Linked DNA regions of Nothobranchius furzeri. The protein of the gene in region 5 purifies or fractionates together with the protein of the main gene of each other region. This does not show direct contact. Links are inferred from orthologs where the notes say so. Each region holds a gene or a part of one and is shown on either strand. Other genes may lie near its edges. The genes, in order: utrn, dtna, sntb2, sntb1 and adra1d.

Region 1 (4,070 bases), on a different chromosome or scaffold from region 5:
TTTAAGCATTAGAGGAAGCAATAAACCCCAAAAAAGGACAAAGAGGAGAGGACACAGTCCGAGGGTAACAGTGCAAAGCGGGCTGTGATATCCCTCTCTAATCTGCTTTGGTCACTCTATGTCCAGCAAGAGAGGAAAAGATCAGAAGAATGCAGCAGCAGAGGGAGAAGAAGGGAGGGAAAGATGGACACTGTCAGGGAAAAGGGACGAACGGGGCAGGCCAGCAGTGATGAGACAAGAGGACGTGCACAGAGCAACAGTTTGGCCCCGTCTCAACATTTTATGCCATCACCAGAAAAAGGAAAACAAAAGAGAAGAAAGATAAACAATCACAAGCCGTGACGATGGTGGAGATTAACCCTCTGAAATCTCCTCACTGTCTACAGAAAAACTAGAGCATGAATGAGATATAAAATCATAAAGCATTTATGTTGTCAGCTTATTATCACCATAAGAAACCTCATTTAAATTAGGAGGAAATACTATCTTTATTTTTATTGATGCTATTAAGCTCTTGAAGAGCTTGTTTGTTATTATATTACTAAGAAAACGCCATACTGGCCTTTTGGGGTGTCTGTTTAAAGAGATAATGTGTATATTTTTAGGGCCGGGAAAATTAGCTCGTGTTAAAAGTAAAGGACGTAATTAATTTGACCATCTCTCCAACCCTGAACCACCATTCTCCAAAATATTTCCATATTTGCCCCTGGACAATATTGCTAAACCATCATTTACGGGCCCAAAAAAAGTTCAAGTTTCTACCATATTATGGACTCCCAGCATCAAGGATTCTTTTGAGCGGAGAAGATGAACAGAGACAGAGCGCCCATGCGCTCCAGCAGCATCTGCGTCTTGCGCTCGGCCACAGTAACATTCTCAAAGCAAACATTCTCACCAAAATATATTTAACACACGATCGTTCATAACGGCCTTGGTACTTTCTGTCTTTTATTCGGGCCTGACGCGCATCGCTGCTGCGCTCATCACCCGTGCTCCACGGCCGTGGCCAGGCAGCGTTTTTTTCAGGAGAACAAGATCCTGCAACTCCCTGAGGCAGATGCAGGATCAGAGACAGACAGGACAGGATAATAAGAAAACAAAACAAAGAGCACGGAAAAGAAAATGTAGGCAGATTTATCCCACTACAGGTTTTGACGTTATAAAATAAATATTATTTATAAGCTCATAATATTCATATATTCCATAAAATTCAGATCACCTTCAAAACTCCGTCCCACCCAAGGGGGGCCATGCCAGTGAGGTGTCCCTTATTTATTTTGGGGGAGTTGGCAATCCTAGTTCAACTGATGCTGTGGAAAATGATATTAACATTGAATAACATAAGCTAACTGTACTAGATTTATTTCCTGTTCATTGTTTACACAACAGACTTTTTCAAACCATGTTTTTGAACAGAAACTGGATTTGATTTAAGGTTTTCTCTGTGATTTTACACACTTCAACAACTTATGCACTTTCTAAATAAAATGAACCTCTCTTGTATATTTTTTGCATGTTTATTGCTTGTTTTTTCTGGAAAAAAAATTATAATTCATTGCGATTCATTTCTTTCAGATTTGTGATTAATTAGTTAATTTATTTTTAATCGAATCCCGGCCTTAGTATTTTTACCTTTAGTCTCTGGAAATATCCAACAAAATGTTGTCTAGTTGAAAAATATTGGCAGCTTTGTACTATATAAACATAAAAACCGGGTCTAAAGTACATAGTGCTAGCATCTTTGGGGATGGCCTTATTAGACTCCATGTTTCCTTCTGGCTGGCTCGGGGTCCTGCGGCTGTCAAAGACTAGATCGGTGTTTCCCTACCCAGGTCCTCAGGGCACAATGTCCTGCATGTTTTCAATGCTGCCATTTTGAACACCAGTGTTTGCCTGCTGCCACACACCTGACTTAAATAATGAGTGATGAACAGACATCTGCAGCACTTGATGTCCTCCTGAAGAGGCAATGTAAATCAGGTGTGCTGAAGCATAGGCATGGAAATCATGCAGGTCAGTGTGCCCTGAGGAACAGGGTTGGGAAACACTACACTAGATGACTGGCTGGACATTTGATTTACAGAAGTTACATTACCACATTCAAAAACATTTAGACAGTAAGAAACATGAATTTAATATTAAAAACTGATGAACTTTTTCCAAAACCTGTGTGAAAGAACAGAATCGATAAAGAGATGCAATACATTTTGGCTGAGTGGTATTGCCGTGGTATGATGATGTCATCGGCAGGCGCAGAACCCCGAGCAGATCCAGAAACTACAGCGCCAGAAACCTAGCATCGGCATTACATTCTCTTTCACTGAATAATACACTGAAGGACCGTCAAGAGATGGAGATATGGTGTAAAACTACCGTGAAATCTATGTATGTACTGCACCCTGGCACCAGGAAACTACACACTGCCACTTTAACCGACTGAGCGCCAATTTTCTTGGTGACAAAAGTGAAACCTGATTCTGATTGATCATTAATACTGGTTTGACTGGCAGGAAAAAGAAGCACAAACAACAAAGATGCTTAGCATTTATCAAAAGACACACACACACACACAGGGACCATAATAACTGCAGGTTTGAAAACGGAGAATGGATCAGACGCCGCTTTTTACTCAACAGAAAACAACCTTACCCAGTTCCAGGCAATATTCATGCTTCCCTTTTTTTCTGAAGAAGTTGTGCTTTCTCCAGGACATCCATCTGCTCAAGTTCATGGTTGAAAATAAGTATTTTTAAATAAAGAAGAGAGAGAGAACACACTACCGCTAAACCGGAACAGGAAGACAAGGTGGTGGGAGAGTGACAGATGCATGAGAAAAAAAAAACACTAAGAGGAAGCAGAGGTATAAGTGGGTTTCTGCTGGGTGATGATGTAACAGCACGCACAAAAGTGATGAACAGAAACAGGATAAGCTTCAATTTGACTTAATTAATACACGTATTTGATTATATCTATATTGTAAAGTCCCTTCCTGAAATGGCAACCCAAAGAGGTGCTAGCGTACTACAATGGTTAAAACGCTTCTTTACGAGCGTTTGCATAAAAGTGAAACCTATAACAATTACATAACCATTGCAAACAGAGCTGAGTTTCTGAATTTAAGTGCATGGCTATGAGCTGCAGCAGTGCAATAGTCCAGTTGTTTATTGATGTATCGAGTCGATGAGGAGCAGCAGAACAAACCGTTTCTGTTCCCACACAGATGGAGAAACAAAGAGGGACAGTAGAGCGAATGGCTGAATGTTTTTGTGTCTTTTCTGTCCCCTATCGGAGAGGAAGAGAGGAATACTGTGATGTCCAGCAGCTGACTAAATCAAAGACACTTTCTACCACTGAGATTTTCAACATCTGGTCTGGTTTCTCTGGGTGAGGCTTGAGTTGGGAGGGGATCAAAGACGGAGCAGGAACTTCCCACGGTGGCGAGTGTGTCAGAAGGCATGCTGCCCTGTCAGTCGCACATCATCTTTTACTAATAAACCAGTGAACATACAAACAAGCATCTCTGTCACACACACACACCCTCAAGCCTAACTCCTACTGCTGACTAACTTTCTAAATAAAAACCACCTGATTGCATCCCGTGTGTGTGTGTGTGTGTGTGTGTGTGTGTGTGTCAGTGTGTTTAAAACACAAGCACAAAGAAGACTGACTACATTTTGCTACTTGTTCGGCACCATGCCTAAAAGTGATGAGGACAAATCTCCTCCACCCATATTCTAGACAGAAAATGTGTTTCTGTGGTGAGGTTAGGCTCCTCTGAGGACAACTCTGATGTTCAGTCAGCTTCCTTTAAATTTATTATTTTCTTATCATTTTTACTGTACAATGTAAACTCAGATTCAGCAGCACAAAGATAAGAACAAGTAACAAACTGTTCCCAAACAAATCCTGTAAAACGTTTTTGTTCTAGTAAATCTGAAGCTCCAGACGGCAGACTGGCAGCAGAGCTATGGAGCCACCATGAGAAGGAACCAAAAGGGTAAAAGGCAAATTAGACAAAGGCTGATTCACAGTTTTTGCAGCCTGAAACGTTTAGAAACGATCTACTGTTT
Region 2 (3,513 bases), on a different chromosome or scaffold from region 5:
TGTGTGTGTGTGTGTGTGTGTGTGTCTGTGTGTGTGTGTCTGTGTGTGTGTGTGTGTGTGTGTCTGTGTGTGTGTGTGTGTGCACAACTGTACCCCCCTGCAGTGTTTCACCCGGTCGAGTGCTCCTACTGCCACACTGAGAGTATGATGGGCTTCCGCTACCGCTGCCAGCAATGTCACAATTACCAGCTCTGTCAGGACTGCTTCTGGAGGGGGCATGCCAGCGGTTCCCATAGCAACCAGCACCAAATGAAGGAGTATACGTCATGGGTAAGGAAAGGAAATAGGAAGAGGGGGAGTTATATGGAGGCGTGTCTGCATGACATCAGTCACTGAGGCTATTTTTAATCTGCATGTAAGAATGCTGCTGTGTGTGTGTGTGTGTGGGGGGGGGGGGGTCATTGTATTGATGTCCTTTTGTTTTGACAACCATTTGGCCTCTGTGCTTCTCCTAGAAATCTCCCGCGAAGAAGTTATCTCATGTCCTCAGCAAGTCACTGAGCTGTGCATCCAGCAGAGAGCCCCTTCACCCTATGTTTCCAGAAACGCCAGAGAAACCTCTCAACCTCGCTCATATTGTGTAAATACTTCTTGTTCCTACCTCCCCACTGCTAACTCACAGCCTGAAATGATTCCGGTCAATCACTCAGGTCAGCTGATCAATAGGTTTAATTACAGCCTTGGGAATTATCTGATTTGCAACTGTGCACCACCCGTTTTTAGCTAGGTTTTTTAGCTGTTTTGTGTTACGCAATGAAAAAATGCAATTAAGGCCTTCACAATCTAAATTCCTAAATTTCTTAAATTCTTTGCTTTTTGAGATCTGAAGGCTCTGGTTGCCATTTTGCAACCTTTCCATAATTTCTTTAGGTTTTTTTTTTAATACCAACTCTGACGCTTCTAATGGCTCATTTGGTTCAACCTAAAAAGTATGCCCGTTTCTTCCTGCTAACGGTTATTTTGCTCATTCTAAATCATCTCTGAAACAAAGCTGACAGGATTTTATTTCAGTGTCAGTTTTTTTAATAACAACTGGAAGACATATCACCTTATTGTTTTAGGGCTGCTGTGCCTCAATTATCAATGCTTTTAGTAGTCACCTCGCAGTTTGATGCAGGGAGATCATAATCAATTCTTTCAAGGGCTAAACTTGAATATAGGACCCTATCAACAGCTATTCAAAGCAAAAACAAAAATTTATCTTGAGCTGGATACTTTGAAACAGCTTATAAATGTCATTAGGTCAGATAAAACTTATTTAGACTCAGATCAGATGCAACTCGCTCAGGTTGTTTTTACTTGAAGGTGTTTTGTGGTTTAGCTGAAGGAAGATCTTGAGCTTTCCTTGTTCCAAAATAGATGGATGCACCTGCATGACTCACCCCCCCCCCCCCCCCCCACCCCCACACCCCCACGCGCACACACACACACACACACACACACACACACACAGCTCAGTGAATGTAAGCTAAGCTGGAAACACATGGCAGATGGAGAGAAGCCATGCACTTCAATTTTGTGGCATTGCAGGAGGCTGTTTGCTGCTGTTTCCAGGTGTAAAATTCATGCATTTTTAATGTTAGCATTGTTGAAAGTTGTCTTTGACTGATATAAATCTATATACCAGTATATGCAGGATCCCACTTCATAAAAAGAAAAAGAAAAACTAATTTATTTTAGGTTACTATGACATCTCACAACTCCTATCATGCAGACTTAAACTTTAAAGATTATCCGTGCAAAACAACAATACTTCAATTTAGGTTAGACCAGTTTTGCCAAGCAAACAAAAATATATCTCAAAAACTAAACATTGGGTCTGTCATATTTTGATATTTTGAGTGAGAGGAGAATTAGCTGGAGTTTGATGTACAATATGTGCATGGTAAAGAGTAAAAACTGACAGGTTATTTCCGATATCACATTTTATTGCTAATATCGGCCAATAATATCGATATTATCATCCCTAATTAGAGCGACAATGGCCCAATCCAGATACTTGCACTGCCACACTTGCACCCTTCAGTTGCACTATCCAGGCTAGCGGTGCAAGTGCGTAGGGTGGAGCTATTCAGTTCCGGGCTTGGAGGGCCAGTATCCAGCACACTTTGGTCTTAACTCTGCTTCAACACACCTGATTTTAATCAGCAGGTGAATAAAAGGCTTCTGCTGAGCCTGATGAACTGCTACACAGGTGATTCAACCACTGAATCTAGTGTGTTGGACTAGACAAACCACTGAAACGTGCTGTAAGCTGGCCCTCGAGGCCCAGAATGAAACAGCCCTGGCGTTGGTTGTCCCGATTCTCAAGTGCGGAAGTTGATCACTCCTTTTTTCACCCTTGATCCACACTTCACCCAAATCTGCATCGATGCAAAGTTGGGCAAAGTGTATTACATCACTGGTGGAGAAAAGGCTCAAGTGCCTTTTCTGAAAATATGTCATTTCAAATGAAAGTAGTTCATTTTAGAATGAATGATTGATGTTTAAAGGAGACATAACATGAAAAACCCACTTTTTTATCCGTTAACACAGTGTGTTTCACATTGTAAGTGTCTAAGTGAGCAAAAAGGCTTATATTATTCACTGGAGTTGCTATTTAGATATTTAATAATTAAGTTTTGGGCATATTTGTCCACCCGTTTAGTTTTTCAAATTATCTATTAAATCAGTAATTTATTTCGTCAGGATAACTACCAAATATGGTAATGGCCCTCGGCTAAACACAGAGCCAATCCGCCATTTTTTCATCTCGCTAAGATTTTTTGTAGTCCTATTGGAAAAATGCAGAATGTCTGGTTATTTTAGCCACACACAGCTCAAAACTGTTCCTCGTTTTAAGGAATGGTGGTGTGGCAGTATTTAAACCCAGGAGCTGATGACACTACTGCTAAAAAAAACAAAAGAAAAAGTAGTGTGTGTGTGTGTGTGTGTGTGTGCGCGCGCGCGCGTGGTTCGTTCGTGTCTCCTGGCTAGTAAGTACCGAGGGCTTCATCTATCTAAAAGGAGTCATTTCCATCTGAATGTGACAGCACCGGGACACAGCAGCAGAGCGGTAAGCTTCATATAACTCTAAAATGTCGACAAACTTTACTTTAGGTTTACGGGCATTAGCAGCACTAAAGCGTTAGCATCCGGCTTGCTATCGCTAGCACAGTATGCTAGTAAAGTTAGCACCCAGATTAATGTGGATTTGGCTGATTTTCGTGGAATAAAACATGATTTCTGATCAACGCCTTCTTTTACACCAGATGTACATCCACTGATTGTAGCAGCAGAGAGCCTGTGTGTTATTTTACGTGAGTGTGATGTAATCTTAGCATCCAGTAAATAAAGTCCCATATCAGCTAAAATGCAGCGTGACAAAGTCATTAAAGTGCGTCAACACAGTGGATTTAATAGTTTTAAAGAACAATCTCTGAGTGAAGTGAGGTTAGTTTTTTGTCTCACTGCAGATATAAAAACGAACTCTGCATCAGTCAGACGCAGCAAAGCTCACCGTCTGTATGAGCG
Region 3 (4,192 bases), on a different chromosome or scaffold from region 5:
AACTTTGGTGCTGCTTGGATTCCCCGGGGTATTTAGATCCATCGCCGAATCGCCGTCAGCGTATATCCATATAACGGGTGCGGATGGGCACCCATGTGCAGCCTCGAAATAAGACATTATCTGCACCAAGACATCTTCATGTCGAAAGGTTTTGTTAGGAATCATTAACGTGATTCCCCTGTTCGTTTGGAGCGGGTCTGGTCTGGGATTTCTAGGCGTGAACAGACTAGCTGCGGCTAATCTAACCGGCGCTTTTAATGACGTCACTGCCGCTCGCCAATCTGTTTTTATTAAGATTACCGGTAGATGTACCTTTGTCCTACTGTGGAGAAATTCGTTTTCTCCCTTTATTGACCAACAGAGTTGTTCAAAAGTACAGAACAAAACATATGGCATTACATCTTATAACAAAAATGCACCTTAAACAGAGTTTAAGCAGCAAAACATCACTCTGCAAATAGTGTCTATATAGTGAGACAATTCATGATTTAAAGTGTTTTTGTATGCACGTTTTAAAAAATGCTGATACTTGAAAGGTTTAAGCACTTTACACACTTAATTCTTAACATTTAATTTTTGCAATATAAATTGAGGAATGTTATTTTTTGAATAAACGTGTTCAATAAATTGGTGTTTTTAAATAGTATCAAAATCGAGTATCGAGTTTTTTTTCCAGTATCGAATCGAGTTTGAAATTTTAGTATCGTGACAACCCTACGCTGCTGTAAAAAAAGTGAGGCGCGAACCGGAAAAGCTTCTGCCGATCACAATTCAACAACGGATTACGAAAGAACGGAAAACGCTCGAAACGCGCGGATTCTTCCTGATGTAAGAGGTGAGTCTCTGCTTTGTTTTGGTTGTTTTGGCGTCGACATCATCCTAGCGCGCAACGTTCTGTCACTCTTAAAAAAACAGTAAAAACGGTGAGAAACGCTGGCAGCGAATGAGTTAAAATAAAGTGTAATTTAGGGAACTTTCATTTTAAGCAAATCAACAAGACTGCTTGCTTCATGCCAGAAGGCCAAGATGAAGGACTGGATTCAACAAAGTAGCAGTTGTAGTTTTTACTAAAGCGAAACAAACCCGCTTTAATGAAACTAAATCAGAATAAGGACACGTTCAGCAACTTTTTTTTTGCACACGTGACGAGCATTTACCTAAAATGTTATGTGCACTTTCAAAATGCACACGGATGGAAGTTTGACTAATGTCCATTTCTATTAAACACATCTTTATTTCTCAGAATATCTCCAGAAAACCCCCAACTTTCCATTAGTTATTTGTGTATTTACCTGATGAATATCATTCGGTAAGCCAGATTATATTTTCTTTGCGAGTTTAAAATGTATTTGGCCATAAATAGAATCATCCACAGCCAATCAGAAATGAGATTACAATCATTGATGTCAAAGATAAAACGTAAAAACAGAGAAGCCCTTTATTATTTTATGGGCTTTTTGGTGCATTTACACAAAAACAAATCTCATCTGGTCACGTTTGCTGCGGCCTCTTATCTCCAACAAGCCCGTCGTTCAAACATCCAGAGTGAAATGTATCTGGTCCTGACCACAACTCTGGTTGCACTCGTGTTTACACCAACCAAAGGCTTTGTGTTGATTTGATTTGATTTAAGCTCACTTCTGCTGCTCATAGATCAACACAGACCGTGTTTGTTTGGGTCTGAATTCTAACGTGTAAAGCAAACACGCCTGGCTTTGGGAAGCTGCAAACGAGATGAACGTGTGTGACAGCTATTCATGAAGGATCAGCTGACTTACGTCACACTGGTAACTTGTTGAGTTTGGAATATTTTATTATAGTTTGTAGCTGAATTGTTATTTGAGGCATACCTTTAGTGTTTAAAGAGTAACTGAAGTGACACTGATGCCAGCGCATGGATGTGACAGGGATAGGTGTGCAGTCGGACCTCTGGAGGCCTTTTCAAAACCGCGCTCTCGCGTTGGCCAACTCACCCTCCAGCGTCACCTCTTTCCCCGCCTTCTTGAGCGCCTGGACCGCCATGTCATGCGTTGCCTCCCGGAGCTCGGTCCCGTTCACCGACAGGATTGCGTCGCCCACCCGGAGAGCCCGGCTCTGGTCTGCAGCGAGTCCAGGGAAGATCTTGGAGATGAGGATGGGCATCCGGTTCTCGCGCCCCCCTTTGATACTGATCCCCAGCCCGCCAGACTCTTGTTTAACTACTCGGACTTTACGCACAGCTTCGGAGGACCCGTCCAGGCTGACCGGGAAATCGCCTTGTCTCGACCCAAAGCTTGACCCTGGACTACCGTAACTAGAGCCGGGGCTTCCGAAGTCAGAGTTTGTGCCGTTAATCGGGTACTTTCCAGGGCTGTACTGGCCGCGGTTGACGCCTCCTCGACCCGGGCTGCTACTGCGCCCTCGCACCCCGTGGTTCTGAAGCTGGTCTTGACCTGAGGACGAACGGCGGCCAGGGATCCCCACACTCGTTCCCGGATCATTTCCGTTCGACATGCCATTTCGCAGGCCAGCCGAAGAGCAGTCCCAGTGGTTGCCCGCCTGTCCGGTCACCTCCGATTCGGCTGTTAGAGTCAGCGTCTCCCGTGTGAGTTCTGCAGCCACTCGGATCCAGCGGTCCCGAAGCAGAAGGTCCAGCTGACCATTTTTATCCGCTCTGGTCCAAATTGCCATTCCTGGACTGTCGTTAGCCTGCTCCGAGGCGGGCCGCCGCTACTCTAAACTCATCGTCAACTTTTTCCTCTCTTTTTTTGTGAGTGCGCACAAGCGGCAGCACTGGCTCGCATCGACACACCCACTCCCGCCGAGGAGAGGGAGAGAGGGGGGAGAAACACGGGACTCCCACAAAACAGGGGGAGGAGGAGAAGCGGCTGCTACGGGGCAGCCTCGGAGGTCTTGCTGAGGAGTTCAATCCGATTCCGTAAAGCTGTCCAACCTCACCGGAAAGCTAGCATAGCTACAACAAAGACACATCCGTTTAGGCCTTTCAAAATAAAACAATGTAGCCCATATTACACTCTCGATGTGTGTGTGTGTGTGTGTGTGTGTGTGTGTGTGTGTGTGTGTGTGTGTGTGTGTGTGTGTGTGTGTGTGTGTGTGTTATCATGATTTGTGGTCCTGTGTGTAATAGGTGTAATATGAGCAAGAATATTTTATTTAGAATAAATTGTTTTGCTAATGGTTTATAAACGCAATTACTAATATACGGAATGCATCAAGGGCGTAGGAACCGGGGGTGGGGGGTGGGGGGGACGTGTCCCCTCCAATATTGGACAAACGCGCATTTGTCCCCCCCAATAACACGGAGAAGAAAAAAATTGATTTTGAAATATTTGACTCGTGAGCTTTTATTTTGAAAGACGCTGCAGACTTCTCACTGACACAGCCCCTCCCCTCAGGGAGTTAGACAGGAGCGGGACCTGGACGACAACAGCTTCTTCTCATGGGCAATAAGAGAAAGAAAGGAATTGTGACTCGGTAATAATTTAGTCCAAGAGGATAATTGTATTTCTGGTCAAACGTTAGACTGGCTGACTAACGTAAACATCTTGCTAGGCAGCATTAAACGTTAAACAACACTACTAGTCAACAAAAAATGGCGAATTTAACACGATTTTACAGTAACAGACAAAAACCATTTGACACGAAATAAATAAAGTAGAATCTCCACATAAAAATGGAGTTTGTAAATGTGATTGTTGCTTGTTTGTGACATTCTCATCACATTTTATTTTTAAACCTTATTCATGTCACTTTTTTCATATGAGAGACCAGAGGAAGTTCAGCAGCAAAATGATGAAGAAGGTGAGACAGGCAGTGCCAGACCTGCTGAGGGTGAGACAGGCAGAGCCATACCTGCTGAGGGTGAGACAGGCAGCGCCAGTCCTGCTGAGGGTGAGACGGGGAGAGCCATACCTGCTGAGGGTGAGACAGGGAGAGCCATACCTGCTGAGGGTGAGACAGGGAGAGTCATACCTGCTGAGGGTGAGACAGGGAGCACCAGACCTGCTGAGGGTGAGACAGGGAGAGCCATACCTGCTGAGGGTGAGACAGGGAGAGCCATACCTGCTGAGGGTGAGACAGGGAGAGCCATACCTGCTGAGGGTGAGACAGGGAGCACCAGACCTGCTGAGGTGCAGGTAGGTGCTACAATGAAGAGTGAGATTTTAGATGGTTGATGATGAGAGGAAGATTC
Region 4 (4,241 bases), on a different chromosome or scaffold from region 5:
TCATCAAAAATGTTAAACGAGTTCATTCATGTTTGTTTCATGCCATGGTGGATTCCCCATTAGTTGTTTTGGCTGAAATATGAGGAACTTCCTGCTGTACTTGACTCCCAGATGCACCAGAAGTGCTGCATGCAGCTGCTGTTCACACTTGTAATAACATCCATGTAAATACCAATGGGATGCATGTCAGTGCTTTAATGTTTATAATATAATGTTGCATGAACCCATGTGGAAATACAGAGATGTTTGTTTAAACATTGTATTAATACACTTTTTTGTTCATAAGAACTGCGTGGTGGCGCAGTTGTTAGCATTGTTGCCTCGTAGCAAGAAGGTTGCAGGTTCGAAACTCGGCTGTGGCCTTTCTGCGTGGAGTTGCGTGTTCTCCCCATGCATGCGTGGGTTTCCTCCGGGTACTCCGTTTTCCCCCACGGATCACAACATGCCCTGTAAGTTATAAATTGTGTGTCGCTTTGGATGAAAGCGTCTGCCAAATAAATAAACATAAACCGCCCAGCCAAATAAAAAAGTCACCACCCAAAAAGAAAAATGGCCTGTATTTGATATAGCGCCTTCTAGAGTCCTAGAACCCCCCAAGGCACTTTACAACATAATCAGTCATTCTTTCATTGAATCCCACATTCACACGCTGCTGGGGATGAGCTACAATGTAGCCACAGCTGCCCTGGCGTGCAATGACAGATTACGACACGCATTCGCTGTGGCGCTGTTTCGATAAGCTTCTGCAACATCACCAGTTGTTTTGATCCAGGGTTGAACTAATGTCTCACCAACATCTTGCACTGATGATGGTAGTCTGACTGCTGCACAAAGCCTTCTGCAGCACATCCCAAAAATTCTCAATGGGGTTAAGGTCTGGACTCTGTGGTGGCCGATCCATGTGTGAAAATGACGTCTCATGCTCCCTGAACCGCTCTTGAGCCCGATGAATCCTGGCATTGTCGTCTTGGAATATGCCCGTGCCATCAGGGAAGATGGAATAACCTGGTCATTCCGCATATTCAGGTAGTCAGCTGACTTCGTTCTTGGAGCACATCCTGTTGCGGAGTCTAGACCTGACCACCTGCAGCAAGCCCAGATCATAGCACTGCCCCCGCAGGCTTGTAGAGTAGGCACTAGGCATGATGGGTGCATCACTTCATCTGCCTCTCTTCTTACCCTGATGCACCATCACTCTGGAACAGGGCCCATCTGGACTCATCAGACCAGTTTTTAATAAAGTGTTGGACAGTTCAGATTGAGTTTTTTTTGCATCTCATTAGATGTCATCTCTGCTTGACGCCAACGACCCGACCCTTCCCACACAGACTAACATCTTTTCCACAACCACCAGTTGTGTCTTTCCACTTGTTTGTTTAACGAATGAGAAGTGACTCATTGCACCATTTGAGGTTAAAACACTTTTTGACATGCAGTAATTAATAATAGGAGGACCCTACCTGTTTGCTTAGTTAAATCCAGGTGGTGACTTGTTTTTGGCCCAGGCAGTGTAGTAGCTCATCAGTTATTTCTCCAAACAGAATGTTCAGGAAGTCACAAGTTATCGAACTCTTTAAGGCAAATGGAAGAACAAGATCCAAGTTGGATCTCAAAAGATTCCTATTATTTATCTAATAAAATCCCACCTGCTATTTTCTGCCAGTAAGTTTTTATCTGCAACAGAAAAAATGTCTGGAACCAAAAGCTGAGCTCTTCTTCAACTTCATTTGAAGAGACAAACGAATTAATCAGCTGCCTTTTATCTACAGGAGAAAACACGGTTCATTTTCAGGCTTTCGATCTTGTCCTGCTGCCTTGTTTTCCTTCATTAAGGTGATTTTTTTTAACCACAGCAATAATCATGAAGGCAAAACAACAAAACCTGGTTTTGCGTCTCCTGAAGTTGCACCAAGCATCCCAACACGCAGAGGCTGAGGTGTCCAGGAGTCCTGCAGCTAATCAGGGACATCTGAATTAAATGATCACAGCAACAATTCTCAGAAATAAATACGCGAAACCCACGCACACCTGTTGGCTTCGGTTTACGAGCGTTTGTATGATATAAAAACAGTTTGGACTTCCGGGGCTCTGGTCACCTTCCCTCTACGTGCATGTGTCCCAACTGCTGCCTACCTTCCAGTGTCACCTCCTTCCCCGCACGTTTCAGCACCTGCACCGCCTCATCGTGCGTGGCGTCCCGCAGGTTCATCCCGTTCACTGACAGGATCGCGTCCCCCACGTACAGAGCCTGGGTCTGGTCCGCTGCGAGCCCCTTGAATATCTTACTGATGAGAATGGGCATCTTGTTCTCCTTCCCTCCTTTAATGCTGATGCCGAGCCCTCCGACTTCCTGCTTGGTCACCTTGACGCAGCGCTTTCTGTTGGCGATCGCCTCGGGCACTCGCTCCGGGAGGTCCGTGAAAGCGGTGCGCACAGCTTGGGGGCCATTGTTGGAGTTGGTGTTGCTGTTATCCAGGTACGATCCGTTGGTGAGCCCGTTTGAGTTGACATTCTCGCCATCCTCGCAGCTCAGCGTCAGCGCCTCCTCGCTCAAGTTTACCAAAACTTTGTGCCAGTGCTCCCGCACCAAAACCTCCACTAATCCACTTCTGTGCGCCCCGGAGCCTCTCGAGACGCCTGCGGCTGCTACCACCGCCATCTTTGGAGCATTTCTGTAAAATCACACGCGTTCTCTCTCACACAAACACACACGCGTTCCGGCTCAAGCTGCATGGACTTTGCTCGTCAGAAGTTTTCTGCGGGACTCGATCAGCCAGCGCAGGCTGGCCCCCGCTCCGCTCCGCCTGCCCGGAGGTCCTAAAGCTGCTGGGTGGAGTTTTCCTCTCCACGCTTACAACCGACCAGCCCATGAACCAAAAAGAAAAAAATGGGCATTTGCATCAGACATAACTTTCTGAGCTATGACGCAAGCACGTGCTAAAGTCATAAAAACAAAACCGTATGCAGCTCTGATAATTTTTCAGAACAGAATGAAACGGTTTCACGCTTTTGTCATTAGCATTAATGTTATTAAATAAAATCAATACACCGTTTCAGTCATGGGGTTCGAGTGTTTTTGTGCGTAATTTGGACAAAATTCAAGGAAATAAAACTGTACCTTCAACATCTTTTGAAAAACTTTGAAATCATAACTAGTTGTCCTGTAGGACTGCGCTTACGTCGTGCTTACGCGCACTCAGGAATGCAATTGAGGGGAGAGAACGCGGTTTAATTTTAGGCTTTCATTTAAAGGCCCACCCTCTGCGGAGTTTCTCCGCATCTCTAATGATTATTTTTTTATTTTTCCAGCTGTTCCCAGCGGTTATGTCAGCCCAAGACCCCGAGGGCGCAGTCCGAGTCTTACTGGTTCTGTAGATCAGAGAGAAAATAAGAGAAACAAATAGAAGCAAATGTAGAAACGACAAACAAACAAGGTGGAGGAAGAGGGGAACGGTTCTCCATCATCTCCAAACAGCAGCTGTCAATTAGGCTAATTAAAACATCTGCAAACTTCCACTGGTACTGATCTAAACCGGCGCGACAGCGACACCTACTGGTGATGTTTGTTTTAACAGTCATCTATCTATCTATCTATCTATCTATCATCTATCTATCTATCTATCTATCTATCTATCTATCTATCTATCTATCTATCTATCTATCTATCTATCTATCTATCTATCTATCTATCTATCTATCTATCTATCTATCTATCATCAGGTGACGTTGAACAGTAAATCAAAAACATTTGATCTTTAAAATAATCTGCTTTTTATGTCCTTACTGGTTTTTCACAGATTAAATTATTTAAATAATGAATACTGAATAAAGCAGCAGATGCAAACCCAGAGCAGAGACCATGACGACAGACCCCACCCGCGCCTTCTCCTTCAGGCAGAGGATTGAGCGGCCTCCAAGACTGTTTTAGGCCCTCAAAGCTGAATGGATAAACTGGCTGTAACGTATAGCTATTTTATTTTTTATCTTTCTTTGAGTGTGTCCTATTCAATAACTTTGAACAACTCCTAATAAAACACAGGAAGTGTTGTTTCACCGTGAGCTACTTACAATTACTGAGTTGTGCAAAAGACATGTTTTGTCTTGATGAGGAGCAGGAGAGTTATTTTTACTTTAATGTGGAAATGAGCTTCATCAGATGAAAGTTTATTCTGTGTTGTGGTAACGACCTTCAAACCAAACCAATTACCGACCTATGAAAGGTGATGTATAATAGAGGTGAT
Region 5 (3,977 bases):
GACAGATCTGAGATAAAGTTGTTTAAATGTTTTAGTGTATTTGGCACAACTTGTAAAGTAGAATTTTGTCCTGTGGTGACTAACTATAACAATCAAGCGTTGCTTTTCTCATCTCAAGATCTTTACAAATGTTTTATTACTGTGCAATATAAGTAAAACATACATTACTGACTAATACACACATCTTAGCAGCCCACTTAGGGAGAATGAGATTCAGCTGCTGATGGAGGCTAATTAAAAATGCCATTTTTCCTAACATAAACTGAAGTAGTTCTCATTTTGCACAGAAAATGTAAAAGATGTAAGCATGAGAGGAGATATGTGATGTCAGTAACCTTAAATGTTTTAGATTTTCTTTTTTATGAGAGGGATCTCTGTATATTTCGATAATGGAAATTAAGAGTTGATAACATTGGCATATCGGATAGAAGTAAACAAGCCAGTATCGAGCATTCCTAAAAGAACCAAGTAATGCAGTTAGAAGAAATACACAGAATGAACATATAAAAGATGTTTAAAGAGCATCCTTAAAAAATACTTGTTTATTTTTAGTAATGTACAAAATACAAAGCAAGTGACCCTAAACATATAGCCACAGTCATTAAGAACTATCTTCAGAATCAAGAAGAACAAGACGTCCCGGAAGTGTTGGTCTGGCCCCCACAGAGCCCTGATCTCAACATCATGGAGTGTTTCTAGGACTGCATGAAGAAACTGAAGGATGTGAGGATGCCTACATCCACTGAAGATCTGTGATTAGTCCCCCAAGGTGTATGGAACAACCTACCAGCCCAGTTCCTTCAAAAACTGTGAATGAGGCTTTTTCCGGTGCCACACCTCAACCTGCGTCGGGAGAAGCGATTCGGTCTGGACTCATTTTTCATTTCATTTCATTTCAAGGATTTGTTTTCTCCCTACTTTCCCTCTACTTTTTGGTCCCTGCTTCTCTGTGGTTCCAAGGGCCGAGTCGGGCCTTGGAACCGTTTGCCGTTGATTGCTGGGGGCGGTTTCACTGGTTGTTCTGTAGCTTTATTTCCTGGTTCAGAGTCAACCATAAAGCTGAGCAGAATGTTCACCATCACCACCATTTTTTTGTGTGTTGATTTGGGTTTCTGTGTAGCATAAAGATCACCTCACACTTACTGATTACTTTTGTCTCAAGTAAAGTTTGTGCCCTGCGGTGGGCTCACAATGTCAAAATGAACAATGATTTGATTATTCAATTTGATTTCATTCTACATCAACACGAATGTGTTGGTTGTCTATAGTAAATATAGTAAATGGCCTGTTTTTGACATAGTGCTTTCTAGAGTCCTGGAACCCCCCAAGGCACTTTACAACACAATCAGTCGTTCACCCATTCACACACAAATTCACACCCTGGTGGTGATGAGCTGCATTGTAGGCACAGCTGCCCTGGGGCTCACTGACAGAGGCAAGCGAGGTCCCTCCACAATCACCAGCAGGCAATTGATAATTAAATTTACAACAATGCGCTTGAATGATTCTAAATATAAATATTGAACAGCATATGTTGATTCTAAGCACATATGCGTTCTTTTATATACCTCTTAGACTTTAGTCAAAACGTTTAGATTTTAATTAGAACCTTTACTTTCACAATCGGCGCCCCATAGATGGTCGCAAAGATTTCCATTTTATGGAAAAACCCGTGAAACTATGAACATACCTAATGGCAAGAAGAAGAAGAAGGGCAGCCAGCAGAGGATGAACATCCCCACCACGATGGCGAGAGTTTTAGCAGCCTTTTTCTCCCGGGAGAACTTCATGAGCCGCACTGAGAGCGAACTTCGGAATGGGTGGTTTTTGCTGCTCTTGGAGCTGGCCGGACGCGCGTCCTCCAGCACGCTGCGGCAGTGAATCCGGAGCACAACTTCCACAGACTTAGTCCTCTCCCGTTTGACGCCCGCTTCCAGGCTCTTCGTGGTCCTGCGGGCCACCACGTACACCCGAAAGTACATGATGAGGATAACCATGAGCGGGAGGTAAAAGGAGAAGAGCGAGGAGAAGAGCGCGTATCCGGGCTCCTCTGTGATCCTGCAGATGCTCTCGTCCACAGGCGGGGGTTCCTTCCATCCCAGCAGCGGTCCCACAGAGATCACCACGGATGAGACCCACACCAGCACCAGAATAGCCACTGCCCTTCTCTCTGTCATGATGCTCGGGTACTTGAGGCAGTATTTCACCCCGATGTAGCGGTCGATGGAGATGATGCAGAGGCTGAGGATGGAGGCGGTGCAGCAGAGCACGTCCACAGCTGCCCAGATGTTGCAGAACACCCTGCCGAACACCCAGCAGCCCAGCACCTCTAAAGACGCGGAAAAGGGCAGCACGATGATGCTCAGCAGCAGGTCCGCCATGGCCAGGTTAATGATGAAGAAGTTGGTGATGTTCTGCAGTTGCTTGTTGCACACCACGGACAGGATGACCAAAATATTCCCAACGATCGCCACCAGGATGAAAGCAGAGAGGAAGATCCCGACGCCGACAGCCTGCGAGTCCACGGTGAAGTTCTGACATGTGATGTTGTCACGTTGAAACAAGCGGTCCAGAACAGAGTCGTTGAACGCTTCAGGAGACAGCCCATAGTTGCTTTCATTCCTCAAATTAGAGTCTGTCATTTTGCGCCATAAAGAGAACTTTAGAGGAAGTTTTATTCGCAGGAAAACTGGCTGATGGGCGCTGCGCTCTGCCTCGCTCCGCGTTGGTCTCAGAAACGCAACCTGGCGGCTTTCATCAGAATAAACAGCTAACAAAACATAAAAGAATTCAACTCAAAACAAATAATAACAAAAACATCCACCCGCACGCGCCTTCAGATCCGTCCTTTTCCTGTAAATTTGTTTTAAATCCTGGCTTAGTGGATTAATGAACAGCCCCAACCGGAAGCGCATTTAGGTCCATTATAGCGCGTTTTTCTTCTGCATGGTGACATCCTTTGGAACAACTCTGATCACAGCCAGAGCTGCTACAGCAGGTCTGAACCTCCAGCTCCACCCACATTCATGTGGCGCTTGTTGCGTTCGCAGCCTCCCAAACAACAGGAGCTTCATATGGCCAGTCATTTTTTTATGCTCTGCCTTTTTTCTGAGGTATATTTGAATAGTATTTATCATACATTCATTGCAAATATCACAAAAAGACAAAGAAGGGCAAACAATGAATCTGGGCTCCATCCTTGAAATCTCAGGAGACAGAATCACTCATATCCTCCAACCTACCCAACAAGTCTGCTCTGACATCCAGGGATATAGCTGGAGTGCCCAGACGCAGATGTGGCTGCCATCTCCAGGTTTTGTGTGCTCTAAGGACGGGCCTGTCCGTCCCCCCACCCCCACCCCCACCCCCCCCCCCCCCCCGCTTACGTGATGGACAATTCATCACGCTACACCTTCATTCCCTTTTACAGTCTCCCCAGTCCCCGGTCCTTATTCTGTGTTTTCCCCTTTCAAAGATTTTGACTTTTTGGATTCACGTGTTTTGTTTATTTCTCCCAGCCTTTTAGTTTCAGTTGGCATGTTTTTGTTTTATTGTGTTCTATTCTGTTTTCCCCAGTTAAGTCTTAATTTTTACTTTAGCTTCTATTAGGTTTGTCAGTTTATCAATATTTATCTCTCGATTTCTCCTGGATTCCCTGCATTAGTTTCACTTGCATCTTTAGTTGCTTAGTTTCTCGATTATTTTCTATTTTCTGTTTTATTAGTTCACTTCATTAATTATTATTTTTGGGCTTCAGTTCTCAGAGCATTTATCCTCGTTTAGCTTCCCTGTTTAGTTTATTTCTTTCAGCCTTTAGTTTAGTATCATTCTGTTCTAGTTGTTGTTTTATCGTTTTGTGTTGTTATTTACATCTTGTGTTGTGTTTTGCCTCCTATTTCTCAGTTAATTAGTCACACCTGTTGGCCCTTTTCATTTGCAATCATCTCACCTGTTTCCATTGTCTTTGTTTGCACTTC

What was found.
Region 1: the proteins of adra1d (region 5) and utrn purify together in Homo sapiens (tandem affinity purification; 4 studies listed by BioGRID and IntAct, with this or other methods). This does not show direct contact. The link is inferred for Nothobranchius furzeri from reciprocal best matches to the Homo sapiens genes ADRA1D and UTRN.
Region 2: the proteins of adra1d (region 5) and dtna purify together in Homo sapiens (tandem affinity purification; 4 studies listed by BioGRID and IntAct, with this or other methods). This does not show direct contact. The link is inferred for Nothobranchius furzeri from reciprocal best matches to the Homo sapiens genes ADRA1D and DTNA.
Region 3: the proteins of adra1d (region 5) and sntb2 purify together in Homo sapiens (tandem affinity purification; 4 studies listed by BioGRID and IntAct, with this or other methods). This does not show direct contact. The link is inferred for Nothobranchius furzeri from reciprocal best matches to the Homo sapiens genes ADRA1D and SNTB2.
Region 4: the proteins of adra1d (region 5) and sntb1 purify together in Homo sapiens (tandem affinity purification; 4 studies listed by BioGRID and IntAct, with this or other methods). This does not show direct contact. The link is inferred for Nothobranchius furzeri from reciprocal best matches to the Homo sapiens genes ADRA1D and SNTB1.

The regions. Positions count from the first base shown.
Region 1 is NC_091742.1:4,205,758-4,209,827, forward strand, and holds the start of utrn (utrophin), read right to left. Parts: upstream 2,809-4,070; 5' UTR 2,732-2,808; coding exon 2,650-2,731; intron 230-2,649; exon of another isoform or gene 1-229.
Region 2 is NC_091751.1:50,726,447-50,729,959, reverse strand, and holds part of dtna (dystrobrevin alpha), read left to right. Parts: intron 1-103; coding exon 104-270; intron 271-455; coding exon 456-580; intron 581-3,513. UniProt on the Homo sapiens protein: May be involved in the formation and stability of synapses as well as being involved in the clustering of nicotinic acetylcholine receptors.
Region 3 is NC_091744.1:86,309,847-86,314,038, reverse strand, and holds the start of sntb2 (beta-2-syntrophin), read right to left. Parts: upstream 2,814-4,192; 5' UTR 2,671-2,813; coding exon 1,974-2,670; intron 1-1,973. UniProt on the Homo sapiens protein: Adapter protein that binds to and probably organizes the subcellular localization of a variety of membrane proteins. May link various receptors to the actin cytoskeleton and the dystrophin glycoprotein complex.
Region 4 is NC_091745.1:41,784,297-41,788,537, forward strand, and holds the start of sntb1 (beta-1-syntrophin), read right to left. Parts: upstream 2,805-4,241; 5' UTR 2,660-2,804; coding exon 2,134-2,659; intron 1-2,133. UniProt on the Homo sapiens protein: Adapter protein that binds to and probably organizes the subcellular localization of a variety of membrane proteins. May link various receptors to the actin cytoskeleton and the dystrophin glycoprotein complex.
Region 5 is NC_091746.1:78,324,881-78,328,857, forward strand, and holds the start of adra1d (alpha-1A adrenergic receptor), read right to left. Parts: upstream 2,813-3,977; 5' UTR 2,643-2,812; coding exon 1,691-2,642; intron 1-1,690. UniProt on the Homo sapiens protein: This alpha-adrenergic receptor mediates its effect through the influx of extracellular calcium.